Saccharomyces cerevisiae S288C: one gene and its partners. The gene in region 4 interacts genetically with the main gene of each other region. Each region holds a gene or a part of one and is shown on either strand. Other genes may lie near its edges.

What was found.
Region 1: mutations in RAD9 (region 4) and TOF1 together harm fitness more than expected from each alone (negative genetic interaction), as found in Saccharomyces cerevisiae (12 studies listed by BioGRID, with this or other methods).
Region 2: mutations in RAD9 (region 4) and RAD5 impair growth when combined (synthetic growth defect), as found in Saccharomyces cerevisiae (10 studies listed by BioGRID, with this or other methods).
Region 3: of RAD9 (region 4) and DNA2, a mutation in one rescues a mutant of the other (synthetic rescue), as found in Saccharomyces cerevisiae (6 studies listed by BioGRID, with this or other methods).

What each region holds. Positions count from the first base shown.
Region 1 is NC_001146.8:121,265-127,108, reverse strand, and holds TOF1 (Tof1p), read right to left. Parts: upstream 4,227-5,844; coding exon 510-4,226; downstream 1-509. Other genes in the region: guanine nucleotide exchange factor SEC2, read left to right, coding at 1-304; GOR1 (glyoxylate reductase), read left to right, coding at 4,939-5,844. UniProt on the Saccharomyces cerevisiae protein: Forms a fork protection complex (FPC) with CSM3 and which is required for chromosome segregation during meiosis and DNA damage repair. FPC coordinates leading and lagging strand synthesis and moves with the replication fork.
Region 2 is NC_001144.5:203,036-209,032, reverse strand, and holds RAD5 (DNA helicase RAD5), read right to left. Parts: upstream 4,043-5,997; coding exon 533-4,042; downstream 1-532. Other genes in the region: RSC58 (Rsc58p), read right to left, coding at 1-272; YLR031W (uncharacterized protein), read right to left, coding at 4,248-4,808; YLR030W (uncharacterized protein), read right to left, coding at 4,952-5,743. UniProt on the Saccharomyces cerevisiae protein: Probable helicase, member of the UBC2/RAD6 epistasis group. Functions with the DNA repair protein RAD18 in error-free postreplication DNA repair.
Region 3 is NC_001140.6:424,071-431,130, forward strand, and holds DNA2 (bifunctional ATP-dependent DNA helicase/ssDNA endodeoxyribonuclease DNA2), read right to left. Parts: upstream 5,109-7,060; coding exon 540-5,108; downstream 1-539. Other genes in the region: 6-phosphogluconolactonase SOL3, read left to right, coding at 1-403; U4/U6-U5 snRNP complex subunit PRP8, read right to left, coding at 5,637-7,060. UniProt on the Saccharomyces cerevisiae protein: Key enzyme involved in DNA replication and DNA repair.
Region 4 is NC_001136.10:899,032-905,366, reverse strand, and holds RAD9 (chromatin-binding protein RAD9), read left to right. Parts: upstream 1-1,886; coding exon 1,887-5,816; downstream 5,817-6,335. Other genes in the region: septin SPR28, read left to right, coding at 315-1,586. UniProt on the Saccharomyces cerevisiae protein: Essential for cell cycle arrest at the G2 stage following DNA damage by X-irradiation or inactivation of DNA ligase.

The DNA of each region.
Region 1 (5,844 bases), on a different chromosome or scaffold from region 4:
GATACAAAAGAAGAAGTTACTCCAAGATTTGGATGATTTAGAAGAGCAATTTAGAGAAGAAAGCGCAATTGATCAGACTGAATTTGAAAACGCTGAGTCTAATGTAAAACAAAATATATCCTCGAAGAGGGCATCTTCTGGAGACGAGAACTCTAAGAAGGATAATAATGAAAAAACTTTAAAGACAAACTTGACGATAGGCGACAAAACCCAAGAACAAATAGGGGAAAATAGTCCTAGTAGCGGATTGCATGCGTCTTCAAGCAATGATGACAATTTCGATGATGCCCAGGAACAGCAATAAATTATATAATATTTAATTTTATGTGTCCTAATGGACATTTGAGTTCCTTAAGATGTTCAACAACTTAGAAAAATATAGGTAATGATAAAGAATGAATCGCATGTATTGTTTTAATATTATGTCAATACTTTGAACTTAAAAACAGAGTAAAGAAGTGGTTCTAAAATTACACGTATTAAAGGGATTAATTACTACATATTCATTCTCAATCATCACTATCACCTTGGCTCAAAACAACTCTAGACTTTTTGCCAAAAAGGCGGATGGCCTCTTCATCTTCATCGCTTTCATCGGCTGCACTCGCTTCCAAAGAACGCTTTGTAGATTCTTTTCTGCTATACACCTCAGATTGGAACATATTTTGCGAATTTGATGGCTGTGATGAGCCCAAACTATTTCTTGATTCCGAGTTGACATCGTCATCAGAGAGTTGATTATTATTGTTATTATTTACATCGAAAATAGACATTTCAGATGCCACGTGGCTTGCTAAAGAAATGAGGCTTTTATCTGGCGCAAAGGAACTACTTTCTGTAGCTCTTATGCTTTCAATACTTGGTATGGATCCACCAAACAAGCTCGTATAATCTCCTGTCACAACACCCCCATTATTCATCCTTTCCGCGGCAAATTTGGCAAACTGGATATATCTATCCTCGGTCAACTGACCATTGTTTTTATCTAGTAACCATCTCATATATGTTTCGTTTTCAAAAAATATAGGGTTCATCAAATCCTCGTCATCTTCTGAATCACTAATAAACTCTTTACTGAATACGCCATGGCGTTCTCTAACGGTCTGAGGTCGTTCATCATCCTGGTCGCCAAACATTGGCAAATTAGTCTTGGCTTCTCCTTTCCTACGCTTCCTCTTATCTTTTTTTTTGGATCTCGCAATCCCTTTACTGAATTTGGTACCTTTAAGTTTATCTGATGCATTGTTATCTAAATCCTTGAAGTATGCTGCGTCGCTTTTCGATAAAATTTGATCATCTGGAACAATGTAGGGATCGTTGTAATCATAATCATCGTCTCCTTCCCATCCATCTTGTTCATTGTGAGAAAAACTATCCTTTTCTGAACGAACTCGTAGAAGATAGGAAGAAGAAGGCAGTCCGTTTGGAGTTTCAAATGGTGTTGATAAGTATTTTTTCACTAGTTCACAAGAAACAGTCAGGTCAGAAACTTCAACAGTCCCCGGTAAAAAACAAGGTTCATTGATTTTACGTGGAATGGAGTATCCTATCAGCAACAATAAAGCCCTGTAGTCCTTATCTTTAAAAATAGGGTCGTTGTTGAGTACACCTGTCAATGTGAAATATTCATTGGGTGGATTAACTGTTTCTTTCCCAGCATTAACATTTACGGTTAGCCACGACTTAAAAATATCTAGTGTGTGGGTTATATGCTTGAGCAGTTGGTCCAATAGTTCAGTTTTTCCATCATCAAGTAATGTGGAAACTAAAACACCATATTTCATATCCAACAAAATCGAAGGTGGTAAGGCTTCTTCATCGGGAATTGGTTTGAACTGTGATGCAGGAGCGGCATACATTGATTCATTATTAAGTACATTATATTCACCATATCTTTGGTAAAATCCTACTTCACTATTGTGTAATGGCGGGAAAAGTAATCCAACAAACCAAGCAGGTGATTTCTTTAACCTTTTCTTCAACCTGGCGAGGAAGTAGTCTGAAAATTGACTCACATATTTCCTTGAACGAGACATTCTATCTAATCCGTCAGGTGAAAGCATTTCTCTTAATAATATTATCAAATCAAATCTAAATAACAATGCCTGTTCTTTTGCCTGAACAAATACTCTATGGAAAAAGGAAAATACTTTTTTAATGGAATCGTCCTCAAGCTCACGAAATCTTTCAAGGAAATTAATGTACGTTTCTATTACCGGTTCTGTCATATAGTTGGCTTGCACCTTTTGAAAATTGACTTCTATACTTCTTAAAGAAGAGGTTAGAATATCAAGCGCTTCATCTCTATCTACATTTTCTTCTTCTATCAATTTAGTAATATCACCTTCTGAAATATTAAACTTTTTTTGCCGTCTTGATTTGCCTTCAATAACTAATGTTTTATCGTCAGAGTATTGCTCTAATACTTTCAATACCGAGTGTGTTAGTTCAATGCAACTTTTCATGAATTGGAGGGAGTATTTGGAACCAATCTTCGGCAGATTTGACAGTAATTGTATTCTCTCGTCACTGAAAAGCCTACTTACAATGAATTCTATATCGGTCGAATCCTCTTCTTGAGCGGCCTTTGTACGGGAAACGAGGTTCAACAGTTCATTAAATGCAATCATACCAGCATGTGTCACTGTCCAATTTTTCAGGTCATATGCGCTTCTTAAAAGAGAAGACACTAGAATGAAAGTCACCTCTTTCAAGGCTTCTGAAACTTGCTTTATATCTGCGGAATTGTCGATTTTGGACCTCAACAACTGGTATTTAACAAACCATGCAAAGAAAAGTAAATATTCGACTTGCTCCAAAGTTACCATCCTATCCTGCTCAGTTGTGAAGTAGTTCGTCACACTATGCAACAAGATGTTAAAGCCGGAATCTATAAAGTTGTTGATGAATTCTTTGAAATGTTTACCATTTGATTCGGTGAAAAAAATAGCTTTACCGGTTTGTGAATTCAAGAGACTATTCGGTAAGCCCTCAGCTGCGACAGATTGATGCTTTTTAATTATTCTTTTATTCCATTTTTTGCTGTCATCTAGTTTTTGGAGCGCTATTTTTTCATCTACGAGAGCTTGGCTACCAGAAACAGTTAACCTAGTTTTATCTGGTGTTTGTATAGATAAAAGACCACCAAATCTGGAGTGTCTTGCAGATGTATGCTTGATAACGTTTTTTCTCATTTGGTGTTCCTTTTGTAATAACTTCGATAGTTCAAAACCTGCACTTGTAACAATGTTATTAGCAGAGGAGCTCTCATTTTTATTTACCACCTTTGAATGTGTCCCGGTTTCGAACTGTCGAGGGAATAGCAGTTCTTGGTTAACATCTTTAGTGAAGTAGAACATAATCTCCAACAGTGGGATATTGATAAAGTCCTGGTCAAACTCTTTTGATAAGGAGCTGGTCAGCGTTAAGAGGAAACCGAATACCTTGTTTTTATGGAATGAGGAAATAACCGTATTTAAAGAGATGTCATCCATAGAGACGTTTGGTGGCAAAGTATCGATAGATGTGATACCTTTCTTAGGCATGCTTTTCTTAGTATTGATAGTAAATTCACCGGGTTCTATAGCAATGACATTTCTGAAAAAATTCAAAACCAATTTGAGAACCATATTGTCCCTAGGAGTTCTTGATAATCGGTCGATTTTGATAACATCCAGAGCCAATCTAATGGCAGCTCTTAACACTTTACCACTTTCCATAGACAGAATCGTTTTCTTGTATACCAATTGATGCTTCTTTAGCTCACCATAGAGAGTAATTTGATTTGATGAAGACTGTTCAGTTACAATTAAAGGCCAAGTCATAAGGACCAATAGTTGTAGACAATTTAGCGCAATTTTATCGTAATAAGCTTTGTTTCTAAACTCTTCATGGTCTGGGTTGTTCTTTGCAAGCTTTGCTGCAAGAGAACATTTGTTTTCCCAATCTATCAGAATAGGTAACAGATCATCCGTCAAGATGCGATATTCAGCTACTGCCATTGCCACATCCCATCTTTTCTGCTGGTCATCCACTAGTTTAAACCATCTTTTCAGATCTTTTAAGCACGCCAAACAGTCATCGCCAAGCTTATAAGGGGGTGGGTCTATCTGGGAAGTATAATCCGGCCCACCGATGGCAGTTGCCAATAAAGCAATTCTTGCTCTAAGTACCGTCAGAGAGAAATCAGCCGCATTTGTAGTGCCTTGTTGCAAATCAGCAGACATAGTGTGCGCCCTCCTATATTAAAGATACACTAAACCCCACAAGCTAGATGGTATTATCATATGTGAGGCGACTTACGAACCATATCTCATTTGAAAAATCCTTAATACTCATTTTAATTTTTCATCGTAAACGCGTAATGCGGCAGTAAACGCGTCAAAGTAGCATAATGGAAGGGCCATTTCCACAGGGAAGCAATTCATACAGGGCACTACCCAGTTGTGATAGTAACACAGAACAGCTTCCTAAAGCAAACGGTAGGGATGCCTATATACAGGACAACTACTGGTTATTTCGCTGACTTGATATGAGAAGTGGCAGTGAAAACCAGCGTTATGAACGGTGAAACCGAGCGGGGATGGATGAAAAGTACGTATAACTCTGTATACACCTCACTTGGCTTCATAATGTGGTTCCGCCATCTGATTGCGTTGCTGTGGTCTTCAGAATTCCTGAAGGACGACGCAATTAGCTCTAGAGCTTCTCCAGGCATTTATTACGTAGGACCGAGAGCGGACTTAAAATCTGCAAAAGTCTTGGCAGGGGGCGGGGATAACAAGGCAATCTTATCCCATTTTTCACTAATCTCGAGCATATAAAAAGTAAATTCTATTGGCCTTGTTGTTACGTTAGGGAAATCCTTCTACATGATTATTGCTCTACAATACCGAAGTATTAACAATACATAAACGAGCAAGAAGAGGAGAAGAGAATATGAGTAAGAAACCAATTGTTTTGAAATTAGGAAAGGATGCCTTTGGTGACCAAGCCTGGGGGGAATTGGAAAAGATTGCGGATGTAATTACCATCCCTGAATCCACCACTAGAGAACAGTTTTTGCGGGAGGTAAAAGACCCACAAAATAAGCTCTCCCAAGTACAAGTCATTACTAGAACAGCAAGGAGTGTGAAAAACACCGGTAGATTTGATGAAGAGCTTGCTCTTGCTTTGCCCTCCTCCGTAGTGGCTGTATGTCATACTGGTGCTGGTTATGACCAAATTGATGTTGAGCCATTCAAGAAAAGGCACATCCAGGTTGCCAATGTTCCTGATTTAGTTAGCAATGCTACCGCTGATACGCATGTATTTTTGCTATTGGGTGCCCTAAGAAACTTCGGTATTGGTAACAGAAGGTTGATCGAGGGAAACTGGCCGGAGGCAGGACCCGCATGTGGTTCTCCCTTTGGATACGACCCTGAAGGGAAAACAGTTGGTATACTGGGTCTAGGTAGGATTGGTCGTTGTATTTTAGAGAGATTGAAGCCGTTTGGGTTCGAGAATTTCATATATCATAACAGACACCAGCTTCCTTCCGAAGAAGAGCATGGTTGTGAATATGTAGGATTCGAGGAGTTTTTGAAGCGTTCTGATATAGTATCTGTAAACGTCCCACTGAACCACAATACTCACCATCTAATCAATGCAGAGACTATTGAAAAAATGAAAGATGGTGTAGTTATTGTTAACACAGCGCGTGGTGCCGTGATAGACGAACAAGCCATGACTGATGCTTTGCGTTCTGGAAAGATTAGAAGTGCTGGTTTGGACGTTTTCGAATATGAGCCAAAAATATCCAAAGAGTTATTATCGATGTCCCAAGTCTTAGGACTGCCTCATATG
Region 2 (5,997 bases), on a different chromosome or scaffold from region 4:
CCACCTTGTATGGGTTCGTACTCTCCATTTTCAAACCTCTTATTGATAGTTGTCAAAACTAATTTATCTTCATTACGTATCAAACCTTCAGAGTTACTTCTATTTTTAATGAATTTACAATATGATTCATATATCTTATCCGGATTTTTCTCAAAGAACTTGGCTGGAAAACTTTCATCTACTACATGACATTTCACAGAGGCAGCATTCAAAATGGATTGAACATTTACCAAAAAATCTACTAGTTTATTTCCACCTACACTTTCTGTCATAATGAAAACTTTCGATTTTCAAAATTATCTCTTATTTGATCCCGACTGATGATGATTTTCTTCGTCTTCGTATTTCTATCGTCCATGCCTTATGGCGCTGTTTTATTTTCTTAATTGTTTTTTTAATAATTGCAACTTAAAAATACGGGTAACGGAAAAGGAAGATAATAGAAGTTGCATGAAGTAGCTGAAGAATAATTAGTTCTTTCGGGTTGAAAATAATAATAAATAAAGTCTTTATATATGAGTATGTGGTATGACTATTCAAACAGCATCTGGATTTCTTCAATTCTCCTTTTTCTTCTCTCGTCTTCGTCTGTGTCCATGGCCTCACCGATGGTTCTCTTCTTTTCTTGAATGCGTAGCATTTTTTCTTCTATGCTATCTTGTATGATAAATCTCATAACTTTGACGCTGTTTGTCTGGCCAATTCTATGCAGTCTATCGATTGCCTGATCTTCCATACTGGGCGACCACCATGGGTCCATCATATAAGCGTGGGAAGCACACGTTAGATTCAAACCCACGCCACCAGCCTTCAGCGAGAGTAATAGGATTTTTTGCCTGCTATAGTCTTTAACGGCAAAATCTGCTAATACACTAGTTCTTTCTTTTAATGAGAGACGTCCATCGAATTTATAAATTTTTGCAACATCTTTTGAGAAAGTATGAGTTAGCTCTTTCTCCAGGATATCCAAGTATGTAGAAAATTGGGAAAAAATGACAACTTGTTCGCCTGCCGAACTATCCTGTAGCAATTGAAGCTCCTTCAATAAAGCAGTGATTTTGCTTGATTTGGAGGCTGGTGAATATGGTTTGAATTCCAAATTTTTCGAGTTGCTATTCGTTTGTACCAATGCCAACAACCGACAAGCGTCTATTTGGTTACGGCAATTGGGGCACTTTAAACCCAAATTCTTACTGTTCTGAAACTCAATATATTCAAATAAACATTTCTCACAAAAACTGTGGCCGCATTCTGTAAATAAAGCCTTGTCCAAATCCATAGGTTCCGTTGTGCAGATGGAGCACTCTAAGGACTGAAACGATTTATTGTCTGGATATTTAACTTTTAATCTTTGTATCATTGCATCTAATTCCTCCTTAGAAAATGAGTTATCGAATCTCTCGGAAACAACACGCATTAAAGAGTCAAGCTCCACCGTTTGTTCCGTAACCAATTTATTATTTTTAGATAAATCCTCATCGTTCTCATCTTGACTCCCAATAAGACCGGGATGGCAACAGACTTGCCTCAATCTTAAAATATGGACAAGGATAGTGGAGTACTTTTTCAATAAATCACCGCGTGCAATACCCGATTTAACAGAAACTTCAGCCTTATCCAACAGAAACTTGTATAGAAGATCTTGAGATTTACTGAAGGGAAGTCTTTTAATAACGACCTCCTTTGGTGGCAACTCTACTAATGGCTTACCATCTTTATCTTTCATTTGTTTTGTCCTTCTTAACAATACGGGTTCCAGAATTGCATTCACCACATCAAATGCTTGTTTGTAATTTTTACTCTCAAAAGGCGTTGATACAAAGGTCTTCCAGTAATTAATTTGCCGCCAGGGATCTAACTCTAAAAACTTAACCAGACTGTATAAATCGTCAAGCCTGTTAATAATTGGTGTTCCTGTTAAAACCCATTTACATTTGCCTTGTAAAGCCATGACTGCTTTAGATGTAACTGTCGTTCTGTTTCTAATGTTATGACCCTCGTCGATTATTATGCGATAAAAATTGACAGAAAATAAGCCTGAAGATATATTGACGTCCTCATCTGTCATCCTTCCCTTGGAATGTTTAGTCCATTCATTTTGAACAATACCATATGTAGTAAGGACTACAGTTGGAGGGGTTTTTGTCTTGGTTAATAGGGTTTTCAAACTGGAAACATTCCCACCATAATACACCTCATGATACATATCGGGGGAATTATTAGCTTTTGTAAACTCGTTACTCCACTGCGTTAACAAAGACATTGGGACCACGATTAGCGTTGTTTTTGAAGCATATGGTTTCTTATTATCTTGCCAAGTGCTTGGAAGATTATCTGAGACTGCTGTGTTCTCAATATCAAACAGTTTCTTGTCAACAACATCACTATCGTGAGGACAAGATAAAACTAAAGAATACGCTGCCACTGTTTTACCCAACCCCATTTCATCTGATAATATGCCACCCTTTATCATAGTTTTTAATATAGGTTTTGCTAGCGAAAATTCACCAGAATGTAAGTTCGCATAAAAGAATATGCCATCTTCAACGTTTACATGGTCCTGCTGCAAATTTTGAGCTGCCCACGACATATCATTTGGCCATTTGAACTGCTTCCATAATGGGTTTATCATATTAGCACCCGTTTCTGAAGCCTCACCATCAGAGGCTGCTTTGGCAAACTCTTGCTCCCTCCTTAGCATCCAAGTAAGACCTTGCTTTTGATAATTTCTTAGTTCTAGCTTGAAGACATCGCGAGAAGGTTCTGTTTCAGGCAAACTTTTTAAAGATTCTGATGATTGTGCGGCCTTATAAAATGTTTTCAATTGATTCAAGTTCATTGTTTCTTCTTCGTGCTGAGTATCTCGGAGATTGTTATGGACTTCAGTCACTTGATTAGAGCAAATCTCGTCGTTATCTAAATCAATGATTTCGGGGTCACTATTAAGCTCTATTTTATGCTTTTCTAATGCCTTCTGCTCGTCCAAAATAGGCTTTAGCCTCAATTTATCAAATAACTTTAGTAGAGCCAGTCTTTTCGAGCGGCTTTCTAGCTCTTCATCAGTTTCAGTCAATGTTCTTCCAAAATTTCCATTGTCTTTCTCTCTTTTATTTCCTCCCTCTGTACGTCTTCTTTTCATCAAGGATTCTCCATCATTACGTTCCTCAAAAATGAGAGATGTTAAAAAGCAATCCAATTGTAGAATAAAGCTATCACCTATACTCAACCGTTTATTATCACAAAAAATCAATGTAACTTCAAAACTTATTTCGTGTGAACTTAAAAGAGGGTATAGTATTTGAGCAATGTCTTCCGAAACTCTGCCAATTTCTCTATCATATTGGATATCAAAAATTCTTACCAAACTAGCCATGGACGCTTTCTTTCTACCACGTGAGTCATATACTTTAGTAGCAGAAATCTCTTCACTTGATCTCTTTAGCTTCATCTGAGAGCCGTACTTCAAGGGCCTGACGGTGGGTCTGGTAGCCATACCAGTGACTTGCAAAGCACCTATAAATCTTTTCCAAGTAACTTTATCTTCTAATCGTGTTTGGTTTCTGAACCCGTATATTCTTCTTCTTTTAGGATGGAATGAAGATGGGGACAAGGTTGAATTTGAGGTATCTGAGAGTGTATTTAGTTGATTCGGGGAAGACGGTATTTTGCTGATAGACGTCCCGCTATTGTGATCAAAGTAATGTGATAATGCTAAAGAGAGCCCTTCCTCCTGACTGCCGAATTTTTCATTAAGTTCCATCACAAGATCCTTTGGCATTTCTGGAATAATCCTTAAAAGCTCTGTAATAAACTGATTCTGGCCTTCTTCTTCTATTTCTCGCCTGACTGGCACAATAGATCGGTCTCCCTCTCCTTCTGTTGTATCACTCACTGATACAACAACATCATCATCATCATCATTATGACTATTTGCAAATAAAAACGACTCTTTATTCTCAGATTTGAAGTTTAACGATGTTTCTGAAGTGTCAAGGTCATCGTTAAAAAACCTCTTCCTTTCTTCCTGTTCAATATGACTCATATTGTGATACTGTAAGACTTTAGGTGTGTTTCTAAGGCCTTTTGATAATGTAACTTTGTAGATAATTTACTTTCAAGTGAGCAATGCGCTTAGCAGTAAGGAATAATGTGTGGAAAAGTTAAGGGTTTATGACGCGTAAAATTTTCAGCCAGACGACGCGCCAACTAACATGTAAGAAAGTAATAATTTATGAAAATTTAACTACTTATTGATTACTTAATCTTCTAATACAAGTATTTTTTGTTTCTAGAATAGAATTCAATCTATTTATCCGTGCAGAAAGGTCCAGAATGAGGGGTTTTACTTCATTTTGATTTACAAAGCCTTGCTCTTCTGCAGTTAATCTTTTGGATTTCTCTCTGATTATCTCAGAAAGAAACTCTATTATCACTGAACTTTTCTTTCTTCTCTCATTTTCCAACATCAGAAAAAGCAATTCGTTGTCAGTGTCCTGCGATAAAGTTCTTAACTTTTTCTCCAGGTCTTGTCTTCTTTTGATGGACTCTCGTACCCGAAAGCAAAGATTATTTAGTTTGGCTAATTGAAAATTTCTTTCTTTAATAGCAGCTAGCTCGCCTCCTTGGATTAACTCTGATGCAGATTCAAATTTAGATTCAAAGCTCTTTTCCAAAAACTGTAAAGTGTTCCATTTATCCCTTAAGGGATCATCATGCTTTTCAAATTCAAAGGCATCTAGAACATCAGAAACCTTAGTACCATGAAAGTCGATATTGGGATAAGAAGTTCTCGTATTTAAGACCGGCATAATAGGAGTTACTGGAACTGATGTGTTTACAGATGTAAAACCATCTGTTTCACTCAACTTCTTTTCAAGTTTGTTAATATTATTCTTAGCTTCAGCCTTCCTATGCTTATTTAGTATGTTTTCGAGGCGTATAATCTCAGTGATTAATCTGTTTTGTTCCCTTTGAAGATTTTTTTTTTTTCCTTCATCGAAGCTACCTTTATATTTTGGGCTGCTGAGTCAAACCGTTCTTCGCCAGATTGCAAATCCTCTCTTTCAGTCAAATTACCACACGTACTAATCTCTAAAGGGCTATGTTCATCTTCACCCGGTTTTAACGAAACGAAGCTGTCAGAAGAGCGTTTGTTTTCCGCCAAAGAAGTGTTTTTAAATGAAGAAAGCTCAGAATTGATATTGCCCTGCTCCAACACTTGTATAGGGGGGGTCTCTTCAAAGGAGAACAGGCCATACCTTTTGGAATCTCCTTCAGGACTCTTTTCATGTTCACTAGTCAGGTTTTCTCGGACATTCTGCTCGTTAAGATTATCAACTTCACCCAGGAGGCCTTCTCCCCGGTTACGTGCCTCCGATTTTACGTCACCGATTGACTTTATGCTATTCTTTCGAGACAATGGCCTCTTTTTAAAGAAAGTACTCACTCTCTTGATTAACCCAACAGAATTTTGACACTCTTCATTTGGATGTTCCTCAAAACTTAATCTCTGTTGAGCCACATTTCCTGAATATCTTTGAGTTGAGTACTCTTTATTTTGCCAACAATCATGGATAACCGGATGCTGCGGCAAGTCCATGTCCCGAAAAGTATTAGCTACCAACGTCATCTCGACATGGGGAGCGGGCTTTGTGATCATTTGTTTTGGAATCGAATAATGGATAATCCTTTTTGGAATGATCGGTGTCTCTTGAACATACTCCATAATTTGTTCACCTTCCATCTCATATATTACATATAAGGCCACACACAGACACAAGCTGAAACGAAAATATCTATAAATATACACTTCTTAATTTGTATTCAAGATATTCTTATCAAAGCACTTATTTTTTCATTATATTTCTATATTGATTTAAGGACGGTACGCTATTTTCTTTGTACCTTTTACTATGCATAAAAAAAGGGGAAGTGTTTAACAATCGACACTTACTTAATATGTTTTGCCGCCCTTCATAAGAGGGTGTTTCTAAAATT
Region 3 (7,060 bases), on a different chromosome or scaffold from region 4:
TGCTGAATCTAACAACAAAATTGCTGCAGAGTACGAGCGTATCGTACCTCAAGTGCTTGATTTGGTACTGTTGGGCTGTGGTCCTGATGGACACACTTGTTCCTTATTCCCTGGAGAAACACATAGGTACTTGCTGAACGAAACAACCAAAAGAGTTGCTTGGTGCCACGATTCTCCCAAGCCTCCAAGTGACAGAATCACCTTCACTCTGCCTGTGTTGAAAGACGCCAAAGCCCTGTGTTTTGTGGCTGAGGGCAGTTCCAAACAAAATATAATGCATGAGATCTTTGACTTGAAAAACGATCAATTGCCAACCGCATTGGTTAACAAATTATTTGGTGAAAAAACATCCTGGTTCGTTAATGAGGAAGCTTTTGGAAAAGTTCAAACGAAAACTTTTTAGAAAAGACACACATGCGAGCTTTCGAACCTCAGATGCTAATATTACGTGTTATATATACCAAACTTTATAAAATGACATAGATATTTTATGCTGTGATAGCTTTCCTGTTATGGAGAAGCTCTTCTTATTCCCCCTGTCAACTTTCATACTCTTGTAGAATTTCCTTTATGATAGGTTTATCGCTTACGAATTTAGACTTTGATGTGATGGGTTTGGCACCTGTTCTTTTTCCACAACCTTTGCGTGCCTCATCAATAGCGTTTGATCTGTCGGGAAATTTGTATTTGTAGAGTGCATCCTTGCACATTGTATAGACCCAATTACGCTCTTCTAACAGGTTCACGAACGATTTTATTTCAGGAACAGAGCCGATTGTACTTTTTGAACCTATAATGATCAGCTTGGATTTGGCCCTTGTCATGGCAACATTGACTCTTCTTAGCTCTTTCAGCAGCGCTCCTCCATTTAATTGAGAATTTCTTCTAACCATGGAAATAATAATGCACTTTTTGTCACGACCTTGAAACTGATCAGCAGTCAAGATCTCTAGCCCGTCATACACATTTTTGTTGAATATCTTCTTCAGTAATCTTAACTGTGCTCTGTATAACGTCATTACACCAATATCTTCGCATGGTACGCCGCTCAATAACATTCCTTCCACACATTGTAGAGTCAATTCTGCCTCCCCGTGATTCGTAATGTTATCCTTTTCGCTTTGTTCGATAATATCCGGGCAGTTATCGTAATTTAAAAATACCACTTTTCTTGTAGGCTCTAGTATATCCTCAAGCCACTGCTTAGAGTTAGCCGATTCATTCCTATAGCGCGACAAGGCCTCAGGCATTGGTAACTCTAAAGATTGAGCAAAAACTTCGTTATTCCCGCATTTTAATTTATTATCATAAATTAGGAAATTAGACAAAGTTACAATATCGCCGCACATACGGTACTGTAAAGTCAGTTCTGCAACGCTTTCCGGATGCTTTTCACAGAAAGTCTTGAACAGTGACTCTTCTAACCCACCTAATCGAGCTGCGTCATTTTTAACTAATGGCGGTAGCTGGTAATGATCTCCTACCATAATAAACCTATTTCCATACCGCAGAGGTCCCAAAGCGACAGGCATTGAAATTTGACTTGCCTCGTCCAAAATCACATAATCAAAATCCTTTTCATTTAGTGTAAATAGTATATCGTTAATTCCTAAGCAGGTGGTAGCAACAACAGAGGTGCTGTTAATTTTGGACAAATAATCGTTATAACTTTTCACTGACGCGTAATTCGGGACATATTTTTGCGTGTCAGGATGGACCTTATGTTTCATTCCCAATCTCATTATGCTAATGTTGGTGTTCCTCAATTTTATTAAAATATTATCCACTGCTGAATGTGTGTATGATGTCAAAAGCACGCGTTTCCCCTCGGAAACGAGAATTTTAATAATTTCTGCGATAACAGTAGTCTTACCAGTCCCTGGCATTCCCAATATCAATGCATAATCTTCGGCCCTCATTACTTTGTCTATTGCTTCTTTTTGATTCAAGTTCAATGTTGTATCCTTTGAAAGCTTATACGGAATGACGGGATCATCATTTGCATCTCTAAACTTAGGTGCTCTATTATCAACTAAAAGTGATCGCAGTATTTCATTACCTCCATCAGATCTCTTTGTCTTCCGACATAATTTACTCCTTTCGTCAACAATATCCACGCCAGGTGAAACAGCTGGTAAAAACAAGCTTAAAAGATTAAATCGCGCTAAAGACAAACTCTGTTGGATATCATTTTTGTCGATTCTATATGTGACCAAATTTTGGGTAGCTATGAGACTGGATTGTTCTAGCTCTGATTCGACCACACTTTGGATGGTAGTGACTCCTTTTTCCTTATCTAGAAGCCTATTGTTTAATAACTTTCGTTTTACGGAGATACCAATTTTAGCGGGATTTATAAATTGTACACGACCTTGGCACAAGCAAAAATGACCCTCCTCATCACTAATAATAACAAAGTCATTAGCAGCAATTTGAGATGATAACATCGACTGCGAGTTATTATCATTTCTACGTCTTGAGAAGCAATATATATACGCTCCCTCTGTTTTTTCATGTTCAACCACCTCTGACACAACCAAGCCAGAAAGGCACCTTCCACTTCTGGATTCTCTTGTGGAACCATCCAATAAGAAAAGTTCTTTATTTACACATGTTATACTTGACTCCTCCTTAGTTATTAGATCATTATATTTTGTAAAAAACTCTTTGTAGTTGGCGAGATTTTGCGACAAATGGTTTGTCAAAATTTCAAACTCACCTTCTACCAGGCCACTTTCTTCTGGTGTCCCGTCCTCTAGTAGCTTATTCAACACCATGCATGATTCTTTGATGAAACATGAATCACAAGATGAATCGCGCAGTAAGGGTGGTAATTCAAACCTTGATTGAGCCTGTCCGAAAACCTCTTGGAGTTGATGCTTAAAATTCATACTCATTCTATTTCGGGACATGAGAATATGTTTAATGGAGTGCAGAACAGAAGGGAACTTTGTCATATTTTTATCCCTCGTAAAATAAAGAAGAAAAAACTCTATCGGTATCTCATAGCGATCATTTAACAGAAGTGTATAAATAAGGCCTTGAACCTCGTATGAAACGCTTCTGGATTTTCCAGTTTTCACTTCTAAAGGAACGATGTGTTTTTTATTGTTTTCAACATTAGCTTCAACAGTTGCATCTAGGAACCCTTTAAGACCATATATTGGAGACCAAATGTTTTCTTCAATATCAATCACATTGGATATAGAAATTGGCTGTGTTCTTCTTGTTCCGGAAATTGATGTGTAGCAACCATAGTTACTTTTCGAAACAAATTTATTGACGAAGTACAAAATGTTTTCAGCATGTTCTTTCATAACTAATTCTTTAACGTACTGGATTTCTTCATTACAAATGATAATTGAAAAAGAATAAGTTTCTAACAAAGAATCCAGCTTTTGTATTATGATTTCCATAGAAATTTTATTATGCGAGAGCTTGTATTTGATTGAGTCTTGCAATAACTCGTGTACGATATTGCCTAAAGTCATGACAAGGCTTGGTTCTCCGCGGGGATCTTGAAATTGCATTTGCAGAATTGAACGTCTTAAACAACCTACTGAACTTCCGACTGATGTTGCCGAAAATAATACATCAGGGTTTAGCACCAACAGGTTGTCGTTAGCCAGTTGAGTTTTAGGGTTTTTGTCGTCAGAAAGAAGCCGTTTGTTTTCAATATTTTTCCCTTCTATAATATGTATTACATCCCCAACCTCAAATTCCAAATATACCCAAGGATGTCGAACGACAACAGAACTTTGTTCGCCTTTGCCGTCTATACACTCTAGTATTTTTTGCGTTCCAATTTTTGGCAATTCAACACTACGTAAGCTTACTATTACTAATCGTACTACGCCGTCTCTTGGAGCACCAGACTTAGCTCTGAGAGCATATGCGGATAAAGTGGAATCAGTAGCAATTCTCAAATCGTCAGAGACCATTTTCTCCACTTTGTCTAAATCTTGTTCAATAGTGTTAGGTTCCACTTGTGTTTGAGTTTCGTTCAATAGTTCAATTAGTGAATCGTCTGAAAATTCGTCTGAAGAATTGTATTCTATTTTTTCATTTTTTTTAATTCTTTGGCAATTACTGTCTTCTTCATTCTCATAAAATGCATTGCCTGTTTTGGCTTGATTGTCTACATTTTCATGATCTTCAATTTCTCCTCTCGATTTTGTGTTATCATTCTTCCCACAACTTTCCTGGGCTCCACTTTTTTGATTGGTGTTGCCTTGAATTGTTATCTGACTCTCACTCTTGCGTTTCTCAACATACTTTTGAGTTAAAATATCTATCAAAGAGTCATCGCCATCGTTGCTATCTCCTGTTGAATCCATTTTATCTACTTCTTCTGCATTCACCTCTGCTTTTTTTTCAACGTTGGGTGCCTTGATGGGTGAAGATGGCAAATCGCTGAATTTCGTTATCGTCGGTTTTATAGTTAAATCGCCCTCTATATCATCGAGAATATCATCTATATTACGGAGAGACTCCCTGGTAGATATTTCTGCTGGTTTAGGACGCACTTGCTCATTTCCATTTTCTTGAATGAGTTGATTTACGTCAGCGTTGGGTACTTGGATATTTGTGAAACTAAGAACAGTTTTCAGTCGATTAGGGACTATAGGTGTAGAAGAGGGATTTTGGACATCTTCGTAGTCATCAGAGTATTCGGCAGCGCTTGTTGTTTTGTCGGACATATCTCGTTGTAAAGGTGAATATTTCCATATTACTTCTTCCATGGGGCCGTCCTCGTCTTGAGTGAAATCGTGATGCCTACTCAAATTAGACATTTCCCGTTTCGGTTTAACTTGTGAATTTGGTAATTGCTTTACGCTCTTGCTAACTGCTTTGTTTATATCTTTTGTTCTTGATGTATTTCGTACTTGTGAAACGGCTATTGACTTTAGGACACTTGCATTGGATACCTTGGTGTTCTTCCCATTTAAGTTATTTATAGGAGCAAAAGCATACTTTTTTTTCCTCTTAGTTTGCTTAGATAATATCGCCTTTGAATCATTTTGTATTATTTCTTTTTCCTCTGTCTTCTTCGCAGGTGAAACAGATATACTCGCAGACCTCTTGTTCTTCTGTGGCGTTCCGGGCATCCTGACGATCTCTTCAATTGTCAGTGTTTGCTTGCACAAAATGAGTACTCACTTGAGTATGTTTTCTCCCAATTTTGTTTTGAGGCTGCCGTAATGATTGTAACTTTATCTTCAAAAATGTAACACAAGTTTTGCCATAAATAGCGTAAGATCAGTTAAATATATATAAGTTCTTTCTGCCGCACGGAATTGCTTTATTGCGCGAAATGAAAACAAGAATATCCAATTTCTATATGAAGGACATAATGGAATGGGAGTGACAACGGACCATTTTCTGTCCGAACGATGTCTATCTCCTTTGGTTACTTTTTGAAATAGAATCACAGTCAATGACCAATTTTCACATACTTATAGCTTTTCATAGTGCGGAAAGCGTAGCTTTGAAGTAGTTCCGAAATTATAATACATCATCGTGTGGTAGGTAGCAACTACGACGGGCATAAAAAATGCGTTGAATATTATACATACAAACTTATACTTACATATATATCTATGAAATAACAGATTCCAGTTTATTGGGGAATATATTCAGCTAAATACATCGATTTGTTCGGCCTCTAACTCTTCGTCCCCCGCCAATTCGCTAAACTGTAAAAAGTGTACTGGACGATGCATCTCATTATAGAATTCCAAAGGAATGCCGTATTTAAAATTGTAGTCACCTTCTTGGTTAAATGCTGTTCCCATAAATGTGTAGTTCCAAACGTTTCCAGATGGAATTATAAAATTACCTGTGATACGGTCAGAGAGAAGTAATTGGGCATGCGTGCTGAAAGTAGGCTCAAACCCTTCCGATAGCACGTTCATTATATCCTTATTTTCTTCACCCCATTGGTAACCTTCGTCGGTCAGGTTATAAGCGCTTAATGATACTGATCCCGGGGTGGAAAAAATTGAAATATCAATGCAGTCTCTTTTCTTATCCGCAAAAAGTTTAGAATGAGTTGCTACTTCAGACGCAGCCATGAATTTAAGTTCTTCTGTCTGGGTATGGATCCAACCGAGTAGTTCAAGGCCTTCAGTATCCGGAAGGTCTCCGATGTCAGGGATGTTGCTTATCTGAACGGATCCTACGTGGCCTAATTGAGGTACCAGCACAACAGTCTTGATTTCTTTCACCTTCGGATGATCTTTTGCTGACATACCATAAATAAAGGCCGCCACCTGGATTTTCACATCGGATATCTCAATAAACTTCTTTAATAAATTTTTTGGAAGGACGTAAACATTCTGTTCCTCCACGAAATCATCAGCCGAAACATAAATGTTTTTTAACCTCAAATATAATAGTGTATTAGCAATTGCAGATTTTCTCCATTCATTCTTTGAACTAAACGTTTGACTTTCGTAATCAGCGGAAGCTACTACAACTATCTCCTCACCTTGCGCATTGATAGTTTTAGTTTTCATAACAGTTGATGCACCTGCAGCTTCTTCGTCGTTCTGCTTTTCTGACCTGGCAGCTTCTAATTCAGCCATTTTTTGTCTCTTCACAGATGGTGCCTTGATATTTTGACCCAATATAATATCTTTAATTTCCGTTTGAGTTAAGGCAGATATATTGACATTGTATTTTCTGCCGTACTCAGTCAAAATCAAATCTCTCATTTGAGATTCGATAGTGATCCATTGTTCATCAGTGAATGAAGGCCATAAATGGTACGATTTGATAGTGATCGTGGGGTCACTGAGTAGAATCATTTTGGCACTTTCCTCGTTCGTCTTTAAAGCTCTTAAAAGTAGTGTAAGTCTAGAAAATGCAGTGTACGATGAAATACGGTCTAACCAATCATCATAAATGTTAAACAGAACCATCTGAGGTTCAGTAGCTTTCATCACAACATCAGAAAGTTTATCTATTGACATTGCAGCTGAAAATGGTAGTCGCAGCTCTGTTGGCCTGATTGCTATGTTAGGAAAGTCAAGCATGTGAACCTCTAAAGGATCAAGCA
Region 4 (6,335 bases):
GTATGTAGAAACAGTTAAAGAGCGCCGCTACCATTTGCACAGATGTACATATAAATAAATGACTTATTTTTTATATTCTATCAATAATAAGACAATTTGTGGTTGCCTTTAGAAATTTCGTGGCTTTTTTTCATATATTCTAACTTCAATAAAGTTTTTTTGATGCGAAATTTGATCGCTCATATTAAGGACGCCTGAAAAAGACATGCGTCTACATTTTGTGTCATTCCCATAAGAATAGTAAGAACAGGCATTTTTATAAATCGATACAAAAAAAGAGCTACTATACGTACATAAAGTCAGTAAATAATCAAATGTTCCCAATGAAAGATCACTCAGCTCTTGAACAACATACTCTCAGCAGAGATGAGTTAAGACGTCGCAAGGGTTACAAGAAAGGACTGCAGTTGTCAATTTTGTTACTTGGAGAAAAAGGCAGCGGCAAATCAACGTTTTTAAACAATCTGTGCGGTCAGGATATATCGCTTTCTGATGGGGATTATGATGATGATGATGATAAAGTGACAAATAATGTAACACCAGAAAATGGAAACGCCATCGAAGATATAGATCCTGGATATAAAACAGCCCATTTGAGTCCTGGGCTGAAGCTTGTCACCAGAAGAGTGTATTTGAACGATGAACTAGGCGTACCCATAACATTAGATATCATATTGTTTCCAGGCTGCGGTGACAATGTCGACAATTCACAAAGCTCTGTTGTTATAAAAAACTACTTAGACCAACAGTTTGCAAATGTTTTAAAAGAAGAGGTCAGAATAAAGAGAAACACAAAAGAAACTGATGGGAGGCCTCATGTTTGTTTATACTTTCTGAAGAGTACTCCAAGAGGAGTCAAAAAATTTGATATTGAGTTAATGAAAACGATTTGTGATAAAGTTAATTTAATTCCCATTATTCCAAAAGCCGATGGTCTCACAGAAACTGAATTAAATTTACACAAAGACATTGTGCGCCAAGAAATCTCTCAGAACAATATACGTGTTTTTGATTTTAAAAGTGACACCCTAGGCGAAACATTAGCTCTGTACGATATGGACATCGATTCCAGTTCAGCAAAATCCAAATACGATAATGACACGAAGATCAAGGAAATATCGCCATTTGCCATTGTTTGCAGCAAAACTTTTAATAAAAATTCGGAAAATAGGGTTGAGCATATCAGAACGTACGAATGGGGTAGCTTGGTGGTCGAAGACCAAAACACCTCCGATTTTATATACTTAAAAGCAATACTGTTAGGTTCTCACCTTCAGGAATTAAAAGATGTAACAAACAACGTATTGTATGAAAATTATAGGGCTAAAGTGTTAACTGAGAAGAAAAACAACTATGATATTCCAAACTATAGCTATATCGACGAAACCTCAAGGGGAAGTGTCAGCAATGTTTCCACCAGAAGAAATAGTGCAAGTAGAACACTTGGGAATCCAGATACAAACGATGAAAATGCTTATCAAATACACAAAGAAATAGACGAAAAAAACAGAATTATTGAAGACTATCAAAGGAAGATTGATTTATTGGAGAAAATGTTGGCAGCTCCCCATCAAAATAAGGTCTAAATAAATATACGGCCTTGTTAGCGTTAGATACATATGAAATAAAATTTTATTGCTTTTTCAAGTGCACTAAAGTATAAGGCAAAATTTTTTTAATCTATAATATACTTTCTCGATGTGTCTCTATATAACCTTGTGTCTTTCTTATTACTGGCACGGCTTTGAATTTTCAGAGTGCAGTTCTGATTAAACACGCGAGGATTTTTGTTCGTGGATATTTGCAACGATGAGCAATGTGAAGTGAGCAAGATAGAGAAACGCCATAGAAAAGAGCATAGTGAGAAAATCTTCAACATCAGGGCTATGTCAGGCCAGTTAGTTCAATGGAAAAGCTCTCCAGATCGAGTCACCCAAAGCGCTATAAAGGAAGCACTGCATTCTCCCTTGGCTGATGGCGACATGAACGAAATGAATGTTCCCGTTGATCCGTTGGAAAACAAGGTAAATAGCACAAACATAATCGAAGGAAGTCCCAAAGCAAATCCAAATCCTGTCAAGTTTATGAATACAAGTGAGATATTTCAAAAATCTCTGGGATTACTTGACGAGAGTCCAAGACATGATGATGAGTTAAATATTGAAGTAGGAGATAATGATCGACCAAATGCTAACATATTGCATAATGAAAGGACTCCTGACCTTGACCGAATTGCTAACTTTTTCAAAAGCAATCGAACCCCTGGTAAAGAAAATCTTTTGACCAAATATCAAAGCTCCGATCTGGAAGACACTCCTCTGATGTTAAGAAAAAAAATGACTTTTCAAACTCCAACTGATCCATTGGAACAGAAAACCTTCAAAAAGTTGAAGTCAGATACTGGGTTTTGCTATTATGGAGAGCAGAATGATGGAGAAGAAAATGCGTCATTAGAAGTTACAGAGGCGGATGCCACTTTTGTACAGATGGCTGAACGTTCTGCTGATAATTATGACTGTGCATTGGAAGGAATTGTTACACCTAAAAGATATAAAGACGAATTAAGTAAAAGTGGAGGAATGCAAGATGAACGAGTTCAAAAAACTCAAATCATGATATCAGCAGAATCACCTAATTCGATAAGCTCTTATGACAAGAACAAAATTACCGGGAATGGCCGGACCACAAGAAATGTAAACAAGGTTTTTAACAATAACGAAGATAACATAGGAGCTATCGAGGAAAAAAATCCAGTAAAAAAGAAAAGTGAGAACTATTCATCAGATGATCTCAGAGAACGGAACAATCAAATAATACAAAGTAATGAATCAGAGGAGATTAACGAATTGGAAAAGAATCTGAATGTTTCGGGTAGAGAGAATGACGTGAACAATTTAGATATCGATATTAATAGTGCTGTGTCTGGCACCCCTTCACGCAACAATGCGGAAGAAGAAATGTATTCCAGTGAGAGTGTAAACAATCGGGAACCATCCAAGAAGTGGATATTCCGATACTCAAAAGACAAAACGGAAAATAATAGCAATAGATCTACGCAAATAGTCAATAATCCAAGAACACAGGAAATGCCTTTAGATAGTATTTCAATCGATACGCAACCCTTATCTAAAAGTTTCAATACCGAAACAAATAATGAATTAGAGACACAGATAATTGTTTCATCGCTTTCCCAAGGCATATCTGCTCAGAAGGGACCTGTTTTTCATTCTACTGGCCAGACAGAAGAAATAAAAACCCAAATAATAAATTCTCCTGAACAAAATGCTTTGAATGCAACCTTTGAAACTCCCGTTACTCTTTCTCGGATTAATTTTGAACCCATATTGGAAGTTCCTGAGACTAGTTCACCATCTAAGAATACGATGTCAAAACCCTCGAATTCTTCACCTATTCCGAAGGAAAAAGATACATTTAATATACACGAGAGAGAAGTAGAGACAAACAATGTTTTTTCAAACGATATACAAAATTCTTCAAATGCAGCTACCAGAGATGACATTATCATAGCCGGTTCATCTGATTTCAACGAACAAAAGGAAATAACCGATAGAATATACTTACAACTTTCAGGAAAGCAAATATCTGATTCAGGAAGTGATGAAACAGAACGTATGTCCCCAAATGAGCTTGATACGAAAAAGGAAAGTACAATCATGAGCGAGGTTGAACTAACCCAAGAACTGCCTGAAGTTGAAGAGCAGCAAGATCTTCAAACGTCTCCAAAAAAGCTGGTAGTCGAGGAAGAAACTTTAATGGAGATAAAAAAAAGCAAGGGGAACTCACTTCAGCTTCATGATGATAATAAAGAATGCAATTCAGATAAACAAGATGGCACAGAGTCTTTGGATGTAGCTTTGATTGAACACGAAAGCAAAGGACAGAGCTCAGAACTTCAGAAAAACCTCATGCAATTATTTCCAAGTGAGTCACAGGAGATTATTCAGAACCGAAGAACAATAAAGCGACGTCAAAAAGATACAATAGAGATCGGTGAAGAGGAGGAGAACAGAAGCACTAAGACATCACCGACAAAACACCTCAAAAGAAATTCAGATTTGGATGCTGCTTCTATCAAAAGGGAACCGTCTTGCAGCATTACCATACAAACAGGGGAGACAGGTTCGGGCAAAGACTCTAAAGAACAGTCTTACGTGTTTCCTGAAGGTATTAGAACGGCAGATAATAGTTTCTTATCGAAAGACGACATAATTTTTGGAAATGCGGTATGGTGTCAGTATACGTGGAATTACAAATTTTATCCGGGTATTTTATTGGAAGTTGACACTAATCAAGATGGCTGTTGGATTTATTTCGAAACAGGAAGATCGCTAACCAAAGATGAGGACATCTACTACTTAGATATTAGAATAGGGGATGCTGTTACCTTTGATGGAAATGAGTACGTAGTCGTTGGTCTAGAATGTCGTAGCCATGATCTCAACATAATAAGATGTATTCGAGGATATGATACGGTTCATTTGAAAAAAAAAAATGCAAGCGGATTGTTGGGGAAAAGGACGTTAATTAAAGCACTAAGCTCGATCAGTCTTGACCTAAGCGAGTGGGCTAAAAGAGCGAAGATCATATTAGAAGATAATGAGAAAAATAAAGGCGACGCGTATAGGTACTTGAGACATCCCATTAGGGGAAGGAAATCAATGACCAATGTTCTGTCTCCGAAGAAACATACTGATGACGAAAAGGACATAAATACGCATACTGAAGTGTACAATAACGAAATAGAATCGAGCTCCGAAAAGAAGGAAATTGTTAAAAAGGATTCTAGAGACGCATTAGCTGAACATGCAGGAGCGCCAAGCCTGCTTTTTTCTTCTGGTGAAATCAGAACAGGGAATGTATTTGATAAATGTATTTTTGTTTTGACAAGCCTATTCGAAAATAGAGAGGAACTTCGACAGACCATTGAATCGCAAGGCGGCACTGTAATTGAGTCAGGATTTTCCACTTTATTTAACTTCACTCATCCGCTAGCTAAATCTTTAGTCAATAAAGGTAATACAGATAATATTCGAGAATTGGCCTTGAAGCTAGCCTGGAAACCTCATTCCCTATTTGCAGACTGCAGATTTGCTTGCCTAATCACAAAACGGCATTTAAGAAGCTTAAAGTACTTAGAAACTTTGGCGTTGGGGTGGCCTACACTACACTGGAAATTCATAAGTGCATGCATTGAAAAGAAAAGAATAGTACCACATTTAATATACCAATACCTATTACCTTCGGGTGAAAGTTTTCGGTTATCGTTAGATTCTCCATCAAAGGGAGGAATCATTAAATCCAACAATATTTTTTCATTTTATACACAATTCTTACGCGGATCTAATTTAAGAGATCAGATATGTGGAGTGAAGAAAATGTTAAATGACTACATTGTTATTGTTTGGGGTAGATCTGAGTTGGACAGTTTTGTCAAATTTGCTTTTGCATGTTTGAGCGCAGGTAGAATGCTTACAATTGATTTACCCAATATTGATGTAGATGATACAGAGCCATTGTTAAATGCCTTAGATTCTTTAGTACCCAGAATAGGATCAGAATTATCTAATCGAAAGTTAAAGTTTCTCATATATGCTAACGAAAATAATGGTAAATCTCAGATGAAGCTTCTCGAAAGATTGAGAAGTCAAATATCACTGAAATTTAAGAAATTTAATTACATATTTCACACTGAATCTAAAGAATGGCTAATTCAGACAATAATTAACGAGGACACTGGTTTTCACGATGATATTACGGACAATGATATATACAACACTATTTCTGAGGTTAGATGAAATTATAAAAATATATAAACTCATAATTGATAGAAAGGGACGATTAAATAAAAAAAAATTTAGAGATTCTTAATTAAGTCTAAGAACATCCTCCCACACGCCAGGAGTGGTTAATGTTCAAGATTGGTATTAGTTATACACGGTAACCAACAACGTTGGTAAGGTCTTTTTCTTCTATACATGAATTTTAAGATCAAGCATATATTTTAGGCTTGCATCTTGTAATGAACTAACTTTCATAAATAGCTTTTCTTTTTTGTATGAGGTATAAGATGAAAAATGTTAAACATGATACAGGATTTAATATAAAATGGACCAAAATAAGGAGCAATAACGAGATTCACCCCAATGGGTGAGATGAGAAACGCCAAGGTAGTGAAATATTTTTGTGCAACAATTTCAAAGATAAGATCGGTGTTCTCCCGCAGTAGTCCACTTCAGTCGCATGCATGGCTGTTTGATGAGAAATAAAATGAGATATTCAAAATCTCATCAGAAAGAGTTGAGTACTGGGACGAC